Linked DNA regions of Arabidopsis thaliana. The protein of the gene in region 3 purifies or fractionates together with the protein of the main gene of each other region. This does not show direct contact. Each region holds a gene or a part of one and is shown on either strand. Other genes may lie near its edges.

Region 1 (5,617 bases), on a different chromosome or scaffold from region 3:
AGAGATTGTTGCGGTCTTTAAACGCTTAGAGTTGGCTAAAATGTATGTCAAGAATTTTTCCCCTTCTACTCTATCTCTATATCCTTTCCACTCGAATATCTCTAGCTGCGATGACAAGCATCCGGGAACAAGACTCGGTTGATTCCATCAAAATGGAAGATCCTCGGTTTTGTAGATATATCTCTGAGAAGCAATAAGGGGTATATATTAAGCAAAATTTTGACTAGTATTTTAGTCCATCAAAGCTAGAACAAGAAGAGGAGGAAGAGAAGGATACATACATAATCATCTACCAAAAATTCTTTTAGTTTTGGAGCAGTTCCAAGTCAAAGTACGAGTGGTTCCAACGAGTCTGATCTCCCTGTATATATACTTAACTTTACAAGAATATATGGATTGTGATGTCCTGTGAAAGTATTGAAGATAACTGAATATGAAGGAACAATTGAAGAGCTAGAGGAAATGAGACATTTCATAGAGAAACTGTCATGTCTTGTGCTTGTCAAAGTTCGTGCCTGTGCAATAAACGACAAGGAGAAGTATCGAATCACCGGAGATCTGCTAATGGTTCGTAGATCATCGAAGTGCAATATCCAGATCAAGTTTTATGAGAAAACTAGTAAAGGCATGAAAAAACATTGTTCCCTCCTAGTTTAATAGTATAGTAAGTTGGAACATTATTCAGTTTGTACGCATATTTGCTTATTGTTCTGCTAAACTACTCTCGCTACATATAAAATGTTTGGTCGCATACATAACCATTTTCTGCAATTTCCATTGGACAAAAAAGATGATAATTATTTCTCGATACTGTTAACAAACTACTCATATTCCCCCAAAAAAGAAAAACATTGCAGATAAATGGGGATGACAAATGTGCAAAAAGACAAAGATGCCATTGTGATGATAAGATGTTGTGTTTTGATTACACCATGAGACCCTCAGGAGCAGCAGCAGCAGGAGCCTTGGGTTTCGGTTTGTCAACAACAATGGCCTGAGTGGTCAGTACCATTCCTGCTACGGAAGCAGCGTTCTGTAGCGCACATCTTGTCACTTTAGCCGGATCAATCACTCCAGCTTCGAACAGATTCTCATATGTATCAGTCATTGCGTTGTACCCATTCTCCCAATCGCTGAACATAATCTTTTCCACAACAACTTCTCCTTCAACTCCAGCGTTCTGAGCAATAAGAGCAGCTGGTGACAGCAATGCCTGAACTCAAAACATAAACCCTTATAAGATAACTAGTCACAATTGGTTACAGAACAAATACTGAACCGAAAAACTAAATGCTACCTTTTGTACTATGTCAGCTCCCAAACGTTCATCAGCATCCTCAAAAGTCTCCTTAATGGCGGGAATAACAGTGGAGAGATGCACCAAAGCAGCACCACCACCTGGAACTATGCCTTCCTCGATAGCAGCAAATGTTGCGTTCTTTGCATCCTCGATACGAAGCTTACGGTCCTCAAGCTCAGTTTCAGTTGCTGCTCCGACTTTAATGACAGCAACACCTCCAGATAGCTTCGCAATTCTCTCAGCGAGCTTCTCTGAGTCATACACAGAATCAGTCTCGAATAGTTCTTTCTTCAGCTGAGCAATCCGAGCTTGTAATTCGTCCTTGGAAGCTGCATCTGCAATGAGGGTAGTCGAATCTTTGCTAATCGTGACTTTTCGGGCAATACCCAATTGATCTATGGTTGCGTTTTCAACCAGTAAGCTCATGTCCATGGCTAGGTACTCAGCTCCTGAAAAACATACAAAATGATAAAAAGTTTAGACCATAACAGAGAGAAAGTAAAAGTACTAAACGCACGCGAAATCTGCATATACCTGTCAAGATTGCAATATCTTGAAGCATGGCTTTTCTTCTTTCTCCAAATCCTGGCGCTTTAACGGCAACAACATTGAGGACACCACGAAGCTTGTTCACGACAAGGGTAGCTAAGGCTTCACCAGTAACATCCTCTGCAATAATCAACAACGGAGCACGAAGCTGAGTGGTCTTCTCCAAAATAGGGATGATGTCTTTGATCGCAGTGATCTTCTGATCAGTGATCAATACCCTAGCATTCTCAAACTCAGCTAGTAGTTTCTCAGGGTTTGTAACAAACTGAGGCGAGATGTAACCTCTGTCAATCTGTAAATAATCAAGTTAGTCATTGGCAATGAATGGTGAATAAAATTACAGTTGAAGAGAAGCAAGACAAAAAAACTCATACCTCCATCCCTTCTTCAACTTCGACCGTGGTCTCAAAAGAAGATGAAGATTCAATGGACAAAACACCATCAGGTCCAACTTTGTCGATGGCATCAGCAATCATTGACCCTATAAGGTCATCATTTCCAGCAGAGATAGAAGCCACAGCTGGAAAAAAAAAAAAGAACAGATTGATCAGTAAAAGAAATCAAACATTGCTGCATCACAAGGAAGGTCACTGCAAAGTTAGTACCTCTGATGTCATCACGACCTTTCACGGGCCTAGCTTTCTTCTGAAGCTCTTCGATCAGACCTTGAACAGTCTTATCAATTCCCCTCTTGAGTGAAACGGGATTCGCACCAGAAGTGACGCTCAACAATCCATGTTTGATTATCTCCCGAGCAAGGATAGACGCAGTGGTTGTCCCATCACCAGCAGAGTCATTAGTCTTACTCGCAACCTACCACATAACAACACCAGATTACCGCACCGTATAAATAGCATTAACAGAGACAATAACAAAGCTACACCAACCTCACGAATAAGCGCTGCACCAGCATTTTCCATGGCATTAGGTAACTCAATAGCTCTAGCAATGGTGACTCCATCATTCACAACCTTAGGACTTCCAAATTCATCCAACACAACATTCCTCCCTTAAGAATAACAAATGAAAACACCAAGATAAGTCGAAAGATAAATAACACAGATGAAGATGGAAAGAGTAAAGGAGCTACTAATATTAACAAATACCTCTAGGGCCAAGAGTGAGACCAACACAATCAGCAAGCTTATCAATACCAGCTTGTAGAGCAGCTCTAGAGTGCTGGTCAAAAGCTATTTCCTTTACATTAGCTCTAACACTAAAACGTCTGATTGTCCTCTTGTTGTAGCTAACTCTCTGACCTTGCTGCTGATTTCCTCCTCCCAACTTACTCTGTATACCCACAACATCAATAAAGCAGATTCATTAACATTAATCTCAATCAGTTTCTTCTAATTCCCATAAAAATTAACCTTTTCTCACCAACCCAGAAACCAAATAGAGAAAAGCAATTGAATTGAAACAGAACAAACTAAAGGGTCAAATTCAATCACTTTCTTCAAAAACCCAATAAACCAGATAGAGAAAGGTTTTTGAAAATAGATAACACTGAAGGGTCAAATCCAATCAAAACAAAGTAATGAAAGATGATTCATTTTCTTCTTTAGTAAGTAGCTAAGGAAGGTAAAAAGGAACAAACTTTGTACCTGACGGGAAGAACAGAGGACGGAGGCGGAAGAGAGAGCGTTTGCAGACGCCATTTTGAGAGAAAAGGAGGGAGCTTTTTGAGGAACGTTCTGGATTGGTGTGGATAAGGAAGTGGTTAGTGTAAACGAATAGTGTGGGAGGAGGGGTTAGGGTTTATTAGATAAATGGAGAGAGTAGCTGAGAGAAAAAGGATCCAGAAGATTCTTTGCATTCGTAACGAGAGAACCGTTGATCTTAATAAGCCTTTTTCACCTACTTCTATGGGCCTGTTTGTCTCACTGTTTATGGCCCAATAATAGAAACAGTACTCAAGAAACTTTTATAGTTTGTGTATTCCAAATTCGTTTTTATCCATTCTCTTACTGAATGTACTCACTCTGTTTTAAAATATAAGAGGTTTAAGGTAAATGGATACATATTAGGTCATTTTGTATATAAAAAATAGTATTTAGATTTTGTTAAAAAAAATGATAATGAAAACTGCAAAATATAAATAGTCACAAATAGTCAAATTAAATTTAAATTTAAACTTGTAAAACATCTTATAATCTGAAACAAAATAAAATCCCTAAAACATCCAATATAATGAAACAAAGGGAGTAATATTTAGACCAAACTAATAAGTACAATTTAAGACTTGTGAAAACCATGAGATTATAAAATACATGTTAAGTGGATGAAAACACCTAGCTTAGAGTAGATTTACCCGCTAAGTAAAACAGAAACTCTCATAAAGACAACAGTTACTACTTTTCTAAACAGAGAATAGACTCCAAATCACCTAATTGCTACATGATTAATTGATTTAGTTAAGCCAATACAATTTGTTTCTAAATCTTTTTTCATATAAGTATTGCTTGTTGTACGCATCATATACCATGCATTAAATTAGTTTCCCATGAATAAATTCACTAGTTACGGAAAAGAAAAGTTGGGAAGTGAGATAATAAATCTGACAAAAGTGGCAGTTTCAACTCTGAAGCGTCAATCACATAAATAGTTGCAGTTTGGCGTTGGGTTTGATTTGATTGAGTGAATTGACCAAATAAACACACTTAATTAATAACAAAAGGGAAGTTACGTAACACAAAAATTATAAATAGGGACGTCTACATGTATTATTCCTCAAAAGATGCAGCTTACCATAAGATGACGTCCATATCTTTAATGGAAACCGTGCCGTAAAATTGACTGCCAAAATGTACAATGTAGAAAACATGAGTAAACTAACAGTTGTCCTGATGTACAAAAAAACACACTAACAGTTGTCCGATGAAAAGAAAGAGACATGTAATTTAAAGCATTACGACAAAAAGAGTAAATAAATAACACTGTTGTTAACTTGTTTTAGTAATCTATTGTAATTATTTTCTTGAGTGGTTGTGATTGAAACGAAACAATTTAGTGGACTACTAAGCAAAAATAGTTAGGATATATAGAGCATGCAACAAAAGACATGCAAAAACATAATTTGGTTTGATGTTTTGCATATGTGTTTATAGTTTTCTAAAACTTAAAGTGCCTCATATAAACAAATAATTAAGTTAAAAGTGTATTAAAATTCTGAAATTTAACCACATTCCTATGTTCTATATGAAAAAACAATTATTAACCATTAAACTACCATAAAATAACTAATACTTTATAGACTTATGATTTTATTTTATTTTATTAAAGAATTTAGTTAAAATTAATTTTAGGGCCGTTAATTTTATTGTTTTTTAGATATTCCGTAGTTTATTGCATGTTTCAATTTGTATAAAAATGTGTTTCATTTGGATATTGATACATGTGTATCAGTTTAAAGAAGAAAATAATTTTCGTGGAAAAAAACCGACAAAATAGATTTTTAAGAGAGTAAGTACAGTACCGTGTAATAGAAAGACTGATAAAACCCACCTTAATACGTCAAGAAAAAAACCATTACAGATTTTACGGCTTTACGCAATCATTATTCTCTCTCAGTCTCTCTCAGTCTCTCTCTCTATCTCCCACGGTCGGTTTACATACATATCTAAACTCACCACCGGAGCTCCGACGATTTTTCCGGCCACCTTCCGATCGGTATGTGTTGTGTTCCCTTTTTTCTTCTGAGATCTATCTGTCTTTATCACTTCCACTTACCTTATTCATTTTGTTTCTCCTCGCGAGTATTTGTTTTGC
Region 2 (4,364 bases), on a different chromosome or scaffold from region 3:
TAATCTCTGATATTTCACTGATAGCCACCGATCCCATTTTCTAAATATCTTTTATTGCCGTACCATTAATTTTGATTTCATTTTGTCAATAACACAATAATGAGCCTTAACCAACTCATTAAACAGAAGGGACCATGTACAACAAATCTGTGTTTGAAAACATTTAGGCTAAAGAACACAATTATGTTATTATAGTCAATGATAGCCAAAAAGAAAGTAGCCCTGGCATAAACAAATATGGTCTAGTTAATATAGTAGTGTATTGAATTATCTTTTTGACTCTATTTAGGCTAAGTAAGGCCCATGTTCATACACCGACCACGAAAGTGGTTTCCCACCAAGCTGATTTGAACAACCAACGATCTGAGTTGTGTAACACCCACCTCTCGGGTATAATCTCACTACCTTGTTGAAGTTTAATATTATATCATCATAACTAAAATTTTATTGTAGCAAGCCCATTTCTGAGGAATAAAGAGCCTATAATACAAATGGATCTGTACCTAATTAACCCCAAACTTTTCTCCAAAGAAGAAAAAATCTAAATGGGCTAATTGTAAGCCCAAAACTTTACGAGCCACTTTAAAAAAGGGTCCGTTGCACTTGCGATTAAAAAGTCAACTCTCGCTCAACTGTTTTTCCCCGCTATAATATTTGGCGGGAAGCCAAACAATAGCCTTACTTAACCATAACACTTTTTGTTTGTTAAAGTACTTACCATAAACATGCCATAACCATCTTATCTTCTTAATTATGCAATTTTTCTAAACCGCTTTTATCAAATATTACCAGGCTAAAAGAAAAGCAATTTTTTTCTGTGATTTTTCATTAAATAAAATCCAAATTGAGACAATGGAAAAAGAGAGAAATAGATAAAAAGGAAGATGAGGAAAATTAAGAAAGAGAAGTGAGGGAGGAGGAAACAGAAGCAGTAGAAAGAGAATGAGAATAACGACGACTCTTAAATTGTAAGACTGTATTATTTGGTGTTTGTGAACTTGAACTTGATCCGTCTCTCTCTATCATTTCACCAATCTTCTTCACTCTCTCCTGCACACACACACACACACACACATAAAAACCAGACAAGTAAAACGTAAAGCTTGAGCCCCTTTTTGGTCCCTACGAGGACCCAAGTCACTTAGTTTGATTGTGATTGGAACCATTAGATTTTGGAGTGACAAAAACAAAAGAAAATAACATTTTTACCAACATGTGAATGTGTCACGAGATTTCAAAACATGAAGACTATAATTGAACTCTTCTTTTTGGTCTACACACAAACTAGTTTTTCGAATAAAAAGGGATTTCAAAGAGGGGACATTAAAAGACAATGTGTGCATTAATGTATGCCTATATCTATGTCTCATGATTTTCCATATTTTTGACAATCTATTGAACCACTACTTTTGTAAATGAAGGAGACTTTTGGTGACTTCTCTTACCTTTTCAAGGCTTGAGAAGGAAGAAGAGAAGGAGAATTTGTCAAAGTGTTCTCCAGAAACAGAAAGAGCAACTGCAGCAGCAATCTCTGAAGCTCTAAACTCCAAGAAGTCAATACCTGCCCACACATCAACAATCTTTTTCACAACCACCATCAATCATTTCTAACCCCAAAAGTCCATAACCCCATAACTCAAAAGCAAAACTGAGGTTTAGAAAACCAGAACCCCTTTGAAAAAGAAGAGACCTAATCTATCACCTTTGGTTGTGCTGGCTATCACTTGTAGTGATCTAGTTACCAATCTGCTATGTGGTTCTTGATCATAGCCATTGATCTTACTCAGGAAGTATCTAACGTAAGAGCACGGTGTCACTGCCCGTAACCTCCATCTCAATACGTTCAACACCAAAAGTTCCATCCTTTGAACTGATTTAGCCTCAAACACGAACATGGGAGCTCCAACCTATTAATGTCATCATTACTACAATGTTACAACTTTGGTTTTAATGCTACACAATAAGAGACAATGAGATTATTAATAGAACCTGCAGCTGCATTAACTCTGGAACATTAGTTTCCTCTATTTTAGCTGCCAATGATAAACAAGCAACAGCCAACAATTGTACAGTCCAAGCTTTTCCACTCTACACAAGAATCATAAACCTTTCAATCCATAACCAAAGAGATTAATAAAATCTTAAGCCAAGGATGAAACTTACAGGTAAGTCATGAACAGATAAGAAACGATCCAAGTAGTTCATTGCTAGACATATACACAATGGTCCAAATTGAAGTTCCTCACAGGCCTGTAATAATAATCAAAGACACAAAACAAAGATAAGGCAAAAGTCATGTCTTTTTTCATATCAAAGTCATCAGATTATTGACTTGGGTAAGAATTGAGTCAACAGAAGAAACAAAGAAGAAATTTTTGTCTGATTTACTGACCTTCCAAATCCAACCAAGGGCTTGGATTCTGACATTGAAATCCAAATCTCCGTTTCTCAGTCTCTTGAGGTAATCATCTCTCGGTGAGTGTTGTCTCTCTTTCTCAATCATCTCTCTAACGATCTCTTCGCTCTCCAGAGGAAAACCCATCTGAAAAATCGATCTTGTGTCGACAGAATTGCTCTTCTCATCATCAAAATTGGATACAAGATTTGGTTCCATAAATTCAGCCATTATAGAGCGTCAAAAATTGTAGCTTTCTTTCGATCTATACAAATTTTACTGTTACAGGATTTGGAGGAAAAAATATGGTTTTTATAGTATAAGAGATTCAACTGAAGAAAAGATTTGGTCTCTGTTTTTATGTCTTTTCTAATTTTATTTTTGCTCTATTGTAGAATTTGCTTTGGGTCAAAACCAAAAAGAAAGAAGAGAGAGATGGGAGCTTTTAATATTGTAATTTGTAAGAGAAGAAAATGTTATTTTTGGTAAGAGATAAAATGTGAAGGAGAGAGGATAACAAAAGATTAAAAAGATAAGAAAATTAGCATTTTTATAATGGAAATAAATATTTTTATTCAAAATATGGGAAACTATATAATAAGGAAAATTTATGTGAAAAGGGTCAATGGTTGCTCTTTATTGGATACATTTTAAGATATATGGTATAACAACTTAGATTTTCGTTATTTTTAGATTGAAAATATGGCGAGTCATTCGTTTTCTAAGTTTTGATTTGAGAAAAAATCTTAGATTTATACTTCAACAAATTTAATGGATATGTATATGCAAGAGATTTTATGTAAATCTTGGTACATTAGTTACAATATATTCAAATTATTTTATATTTTAATAAAAATAATTATTATGGAAACACATCAAGTTTTAAACAGAAAATATTACATTAGATGATAAGAAATTGCAAATATGAGCGAGTCATTTGTGTTCTAGTTATTTTATGAATATATAAATATGAATACGAAAGACATTTTATGTAATTTTTGGTATATTAGTTAGAATATATTTGTATATTAGTTAGAATATATTCATATTATTTTATATTTTAATACAAAATTATCATGGAAACGCACATCAAATTATGAACAGAAAATATTACATTAGATAGTAAATTGCATTAAAATATTTTTCAGTGACAAAATGGAAACGAATTAGGAATTTGAAGTAGAGGCCAAGTCAATGAATATCTAGTCATTATATTAGTGTTGTTAGTTAGAAGCTAATATTGTTGCTGGTGAGGTGAGAAGTGTGAATATCGTTTGCACCAAACATATTCGTGGACTACAATATAATTAGCTTGAGAACACCGAATTTTCAGAACCCCCTGCATAAGCATAAGATCATGTGATTGTCATATGCAATCATTAGATAACTAACATGAGGAGACTCATCTCAAGTCTTTTTGGCTATCGAAAATCATTTGCTACATAATAGTTAAAAGGAGAGCACACATATTGTGATCCATTCATCTATTTGCATTTAGACTGAAAAGGAAAACTCTTAACAAAAGAACTGAAAACCAAAAAGTTCAAAGAAAAGAAACCCGTAAAAATAATACCACTACTTAAGAAAATCCAAATACAATTAAACTTCAAGAATAAACATCTTTAAAATCATATAAAGCTTTTAACATGACAAGCTTTATATAAATAATGAACGTGGACTGGAATCACGTGTGAGCGAGCAACTTTGGTTTTTACAGTATCTTTCTCTGAAAAGATTGGTGGAAGAAAAAGAAAAGTTGGAGTAATGTATGAGAAAACAACTAAATGTCTCAGAATTCGACCAAAGACTGTTATTTTTATAAATAGTTTTCATGCATGCAATGCAGACAAAGTGGTCCAAGTACACTTTTGATATTTTGCATCTCTTTGCGTAATGAGAGATTCGACTTCTTTGATACGTGTGTGCTTCTCTATGGTCGCATTCTTCCACAGCCTATGTTGCACAGATT
Region 3 (4,488 bases):
GGTGTTTTGTGGGATGATCCAGCGGGATCAATCAATATCAGCAATATATTGACTGGGAAATGCTTAGCTAAAATAACACCAAGCAGTGGGCCTCCAAAAGATGATGAGAGCAGCAGCAGTAATTGTATGGGAAAGAACTCAAAGCAAAGAAGAAACGCTGTAGCTGAAGCTTTGGAAGACATAACCGCTCTTTTCTACGACGAAGAACGCAATGAGATATACACAGGAAACAGACACGGCCTTGTTCATGTGTGGTCCAATTGATTTCACATACATCGTCATCGTTAGCTGCTACTACTACTACTACGAATGTATCATTTGGTTTCCTTCAATTGTGTGTAGCGATAAATCTTTTTAACTTAGTGTCTTTGAGCAGCCATCTGTGTTGTAAACCATTTGTGGGCAAGTGTGCGCGTCAGAATGCCAGTTGTGTACACTAATACCATTGTACGTAACATTTGGGTTTTGACAATTCTATGAAAGACCCTTTATTCCACCTGTAAGGTCTCACTTTAATTTTCAAAATTGACTTGATTCAGATAGTTGAGCATCAACTTTGTATGATTACACAAAAACAAGCGATTGATAGAAAATCATCTCATTGCTACCACACCATTGTGTTTTACATTCACTTGAGAATACAAGCTTTACCAGTTTCTTCTGAAAGACTACAAATCTCTAAACCAAACATAAGACACTAATGTGTCGGAAACAAAGATAGATCAAATGTTTAAATTCACCAAGACGATGACAACAGATACAGCAATGAACTTCAGAACTGAGACTTGTCAAGGCTGTCAAAATATGGGTGATCAAGTGCTGTTTTTGCTGAAATTCTTTCGGCTGGATTGTACTTGAGCATTTTCTGCAATTGTACAAACATAAGCTCAATCAGAAAGATTTAACCAAGCAATTCAGCTTAGGAAAAAAAGAGGGAAGCAGAAGCAAGAGGTAACAATATTAGAGCAACTTTGCAACAAAGCTATGGTCATCAGGGAGTTATTTACCGTGAGAAGATCAACTCCTTGAGGTGAAAGAGAAGGAACAGCAAGAGTTAAGTCTTGCGGCTCCCACTTAGGGTAAACATGCCAGTCACGCAGTGTGGAAACACCCGGCCATTGCTGCTCAGTTGGTGTTCCTAGCAACCTCCATGAACCAAATAGGAACCATTAGTAAAGATCATAGTCTCTATTCAAGAATGCTAAATCCATTGAATAATTGGTCAAAGAAACCTGGACTATATAGAATCAGTTGTTCTCAATTGGTAAGCTAGCATATCATTCAGTGATGCAATTCACACTGAAACAGGACAAAACCAGAAGAAGTAATGGAAGGTAAATTCAAAATACCTGAAGATATGAAGCAATTGCTGAAACTCAGAATCACCAGGGAAAAGAGCTTGCCTCCGAACCATCTCAGCTATACAAATTCAAAGATTGAAACAGCATAAATACAAAATCACATCGCAGAGAGACGAATTCAAAAACATAAAAGCATAATTGAGACTACTAACCAAAGATACAACCAACAGACCACATGTCAACACCAGTTGAATAATGAGTAGATCCAAGAAGAACTTCAGGAGCTCTATACCAAAGAGTAACAATCTCATGCGTATAAGACTTAAGAGGAACAGTAAAAGCACGACCAAGACCCAAATCAGCAATCTTAAGAAGCTCTTTATCTTTCACCAGAAGAAGATTCTGCGGTTTAAGATCACGGTGAAGCACACCATGACTATGACAATGCGCAACACCTTTACAAAGCTGAAACATCAACTTCTGAATCAAAAAAGGCTCAAGAGGCTTAGGATTAGGTCCTTTCCTATACGAATCGATGAATTTCTTAAGATCAGTATCGAGATACTCGAAAACGAGATAGAGATTGGATTTGGTAGATTGAGATTTGGTTGATGGTTGATGAACATGTTCGACGCAGAGTAATCGAACAACATAGATCGATGTTGATAACATCTGGAGAAGCGAGATCTCACGAAGAGCAGTTGGTGGAATACCTTCTTCGTCCATCTCGAGACGAGTTTTCTTCAGAGCAACAAGCTTACCAGTTCCTTTCTCCATCGCTTTGTAGACTTTCCCGTATGTTCCTTCTCCGACCTTCTCTAGCTTCTCGTACTTCTCCATTTCTGAGAGGTTTCGTAAAATTGAACTGTGTTGGTTTCTGGACTTTTGATTAACCCTATTATTTGATCAGATTAATGAAGATGATGGATTGTGAGAGAGAGAGAGAGAGATGCTTTCGCTAAGATACTTCCACGTCACTTCGTTTTTCCCGCTCCTTTGGATTTTGAATTCGTTCGTGACAACTGCAACAGATTAACCTAAAGTCGTGACCTCTGTGAATGTTTTTGGGGAAAACTAATTGGACTCACTTATTTTGGTCTAATCTGATATCTACTCAGATGATTTGCGTGAGTTGACGAGTTCAAATTCTTCACGAGTTATATCGGGAAGCCACATATCGATATCGAAACACCAATGGTGCGAATTAAAACATATTAATAGAAGATGAAGATTAGAACTTTCTGTTTCATGAAACAGATAACGAATGAAGAAATGTGATTTTGAACTTCAAAATGTACAAAACATTTTTTGAAAGCTACAAATTCCTATTCTCCACCAGCAATTTCTTCTTTTGCATCTTCATCAATTTCATCAACTTCATCTTTCTTGTCACCTACTAGCTCAGACACAATTTCCAGTCCTTTCTTTACTCTCTCTATCTCCTTCTCTTTCTCTTCCAGTTTCTCTTGCAATATTATCACCTGAGATTTATCAAAGTCACATATTTCCAACAAAACCATAATCATTCTTCCGTTTTAAGAAAAATCTTGAGGAATTAAGAGATAAGAGAAAAGGATCAACACCGTTTCATTTGATCTCTCAACATCATTAGTTAATTCCTCCATGTGTTTGTACAGTCCTGCATTCCACAAAAATCCTCAAATCCAAATTGCAAACTCTACAAAAATCTTTGCTATAACTTAATATCAACATATGACTTACCTTCAAATTGACTTCTAAGTTCCGCGTTTTGAGACTTCTGCATTGCAAGCTTTATTGCTAGTTCATGAATCTGCCATTCCACATGAACATAGGCAAGCATCAATTTCTTTACCCTTTTCAGGGAATCATGTTTTACAAAGGTTGAAGAAGACTACTGCTTTACTATATAATTCATATAATTCCAGATTGAAGACTGAGAGTAGAACAAACTATACCTTTCCTTCGGCAGCTTGGTGCCCAATCTCCTCATTTTCCTCTTGCAGGGTTCTGCACTTTGCCATAAGCATCTTTCCATTCTTGCTTTGAGGAGTAAAAGTAACTGCTGCAATGTTGTCCTGGAGTTCCTTGATCTTCTTGTCTTTTTCCTCTACTAGATTCTGCATAATAGAAACATGGAATCAAACTTCATCTACTCTTTACTTAACTGCAACAAATGTACATTAACAAAAAGTTGGGAATGTTCGTCCTCAACTGTATCTACTACGACAGTGTCAGCTATCAGTTATTAAGGAATTATTCTTTCAGGCCATTCATAACGAAAGCGGAATTTTGTTCCGTAGATACAGTTTGGATTATCTAAGGATATATTACGACAAATACATCCTTATGAAAAAGTAGTCTAAGGGTAAATAGAAACGAGTAGGTGCAGACCTTCAGACGTGAAAATTCTTCATGAATTGCTGGATCCAGTAACAACCTCCTCGCCTACAAAGGTAAACAAAGAATAAATAATCTACACTGCTATCTGATCATGACAAGCTGCTAAATGACCATTGCAATTCAAAATTTATAGCCATTTCTTCTATTCAGACTTGTTAATAATTCAGATGCCAGGTAAAGGTTTACAAGAAACATGCGCTTATCATCGTATTCAGACTGAAATCTAAAAGGCAAGGAAAAGGTTTCCCTCTACATGCATCAAGGTCGAGGATGACCGTCATAAAAGGTACACTACGGCATAAAAAGCGGACTATGCCTAGAAAAGTCCAAGTTACTTCAACAGCTAACTTTTTTCACGATTTGTATTGTTGGCACAATTGTATAAATTATTCCAGAATCAAAACATTGGGAGAACTATATACCTGCATTGACGCTGGCTTGAGTTGAGATTTCAAATCGCGAACAGCTGACTAGAAATACAAAATACAAGACTGTGTTTAGCGACATCTATTCTATGTAATGGTCAAGAAAACATGTGATAGCATCAGTCAGGAATCAAAGTGGTAGGCAATGAGTTTCTCGAGAATTACCTTCAATTCTGCCATTTCTTGTTCCCGTTTCGCATATTGTACAATGCATGACGCTTCTTTTCTCTTTGCGATTTCTAACTGAAAAGAGAGAAACAACAACCAAACCTTATTTGAAAATCAAGACCTTCATATTGATATATACACACAAGTTATTACTCAAGTACAAACCTGTTCTTTCAAAGATTTCTCAGAAGATTTTAGGTTTTGAATATAAT

What was found.
Region 1: the proteins of CDKB1;1 (region 3) and CPN60A purify together in Arabidopsis thaliana (affinity purification with mass spectrometry, with the first as the bait; one study listed by BioGRID). This does not show direct contact.
Region 2: the proteins of CDKB1;1 (region 3) and CYCD4;2 purify together in Arabidopsis thaliana (affinity purification with western blotting, with the first as the bait; one study listed by BioGRID). This does not show direct contact.

The regions. Positions count from the first base shown.
Region 1 is NC_003071.7:11,924,493-11,930,109, reverse strand, and holds CPN60A (chaperonin-60alpha), read right to left. Parts: upstream 3,665-5,617; 5' UTR 3,508-3,664; coding exon 3,454-3,507; intron 3,140-3,453; coding exon 2,956-3,139; intron 2,859-2,955; coding exon 2,737-2,858; intron 2,663-2,736; coding exon 2,455-2,662; intron 2,370-2,454; coding exon 2,224-2,369; intron 2,142-2,223; coding exon 1,835-2,141; intron 1,750-1,834; coding exon 1,298-1,749; intron 1,214-1,297; coding exon 926-1,213; 3' UTR 622-925; downstream 1-621. UniProt on the Arabidopsis thaliana protein: Binds RuBisCO small and large subunits and is implicated in the assembly of the enzyme oligomer. Involved in protein assisted folding. Required for proper chloroplast development.
Region 2 is NC_003076.8:3,279,717-3,284,080, forward strand, and holds CYCD4;2 (cyclin d4;2), read right to left. Parts: upstream 2,838-4,364; 5' UTR 2,627-2,837; coding exon 2,393-2,626; intron 2,251-2,392; coding exon 2,164-2,250; intron 2,089-2,163; coding exon 1,990-2,088; intron 1,908-1,989; coding exon 1,703-1,907; coding exon of another isoform or gene 1,656-1,702; exon of another isoform or gene 1,562-1,655; coding exon 1,446-1,561; intron 1,051-1,445; coding exon 895-1,050; 3' UTR 771-894; downstream 1-770. UniProt on the Arabidopsis thaliana protein: May promote cell division.
Region 3 is NC_003074.8:20,057,535-20,062,022, reverse strand, and holds CDKB1;1 (cyclin-dependent kinase B1;1), read right to left. Parts: upstream 2,353-4,488; 5' UTR 2,142-2,352; coding exon 1,514-2,141; intron 1,420-1,513; coding exon 1,350-1,419; intron 1,147-1,349; coding exon 1,008-1,146; intron 866-1,007; coding exon 773-865; 3' UTR 535-772; downstream 1-534. Other genes in the region: AT3G54190 (Transducin/WD40 repeat-like superfamily protein), read left to right, coding at 23-264; FIP37 (FKBP12 interacting protein 37), read right to left, coding at 2,627-2,782, 2,885-2,940, 3,024-3,093, 3,239-3,400, 3,675-3,728, 4,106-4,153, 4,274-4,351, 4,442-4,488. UniProt on the Arabidopsis thaliana protein: May control G2/M (mitosis) phase progression. Plays a role in regulating seedling growth in darkness via regulation of hypocotyl cell elongation and cotyledon cell development. Plays a role in stomatal development. Required to suppress endoreduplication.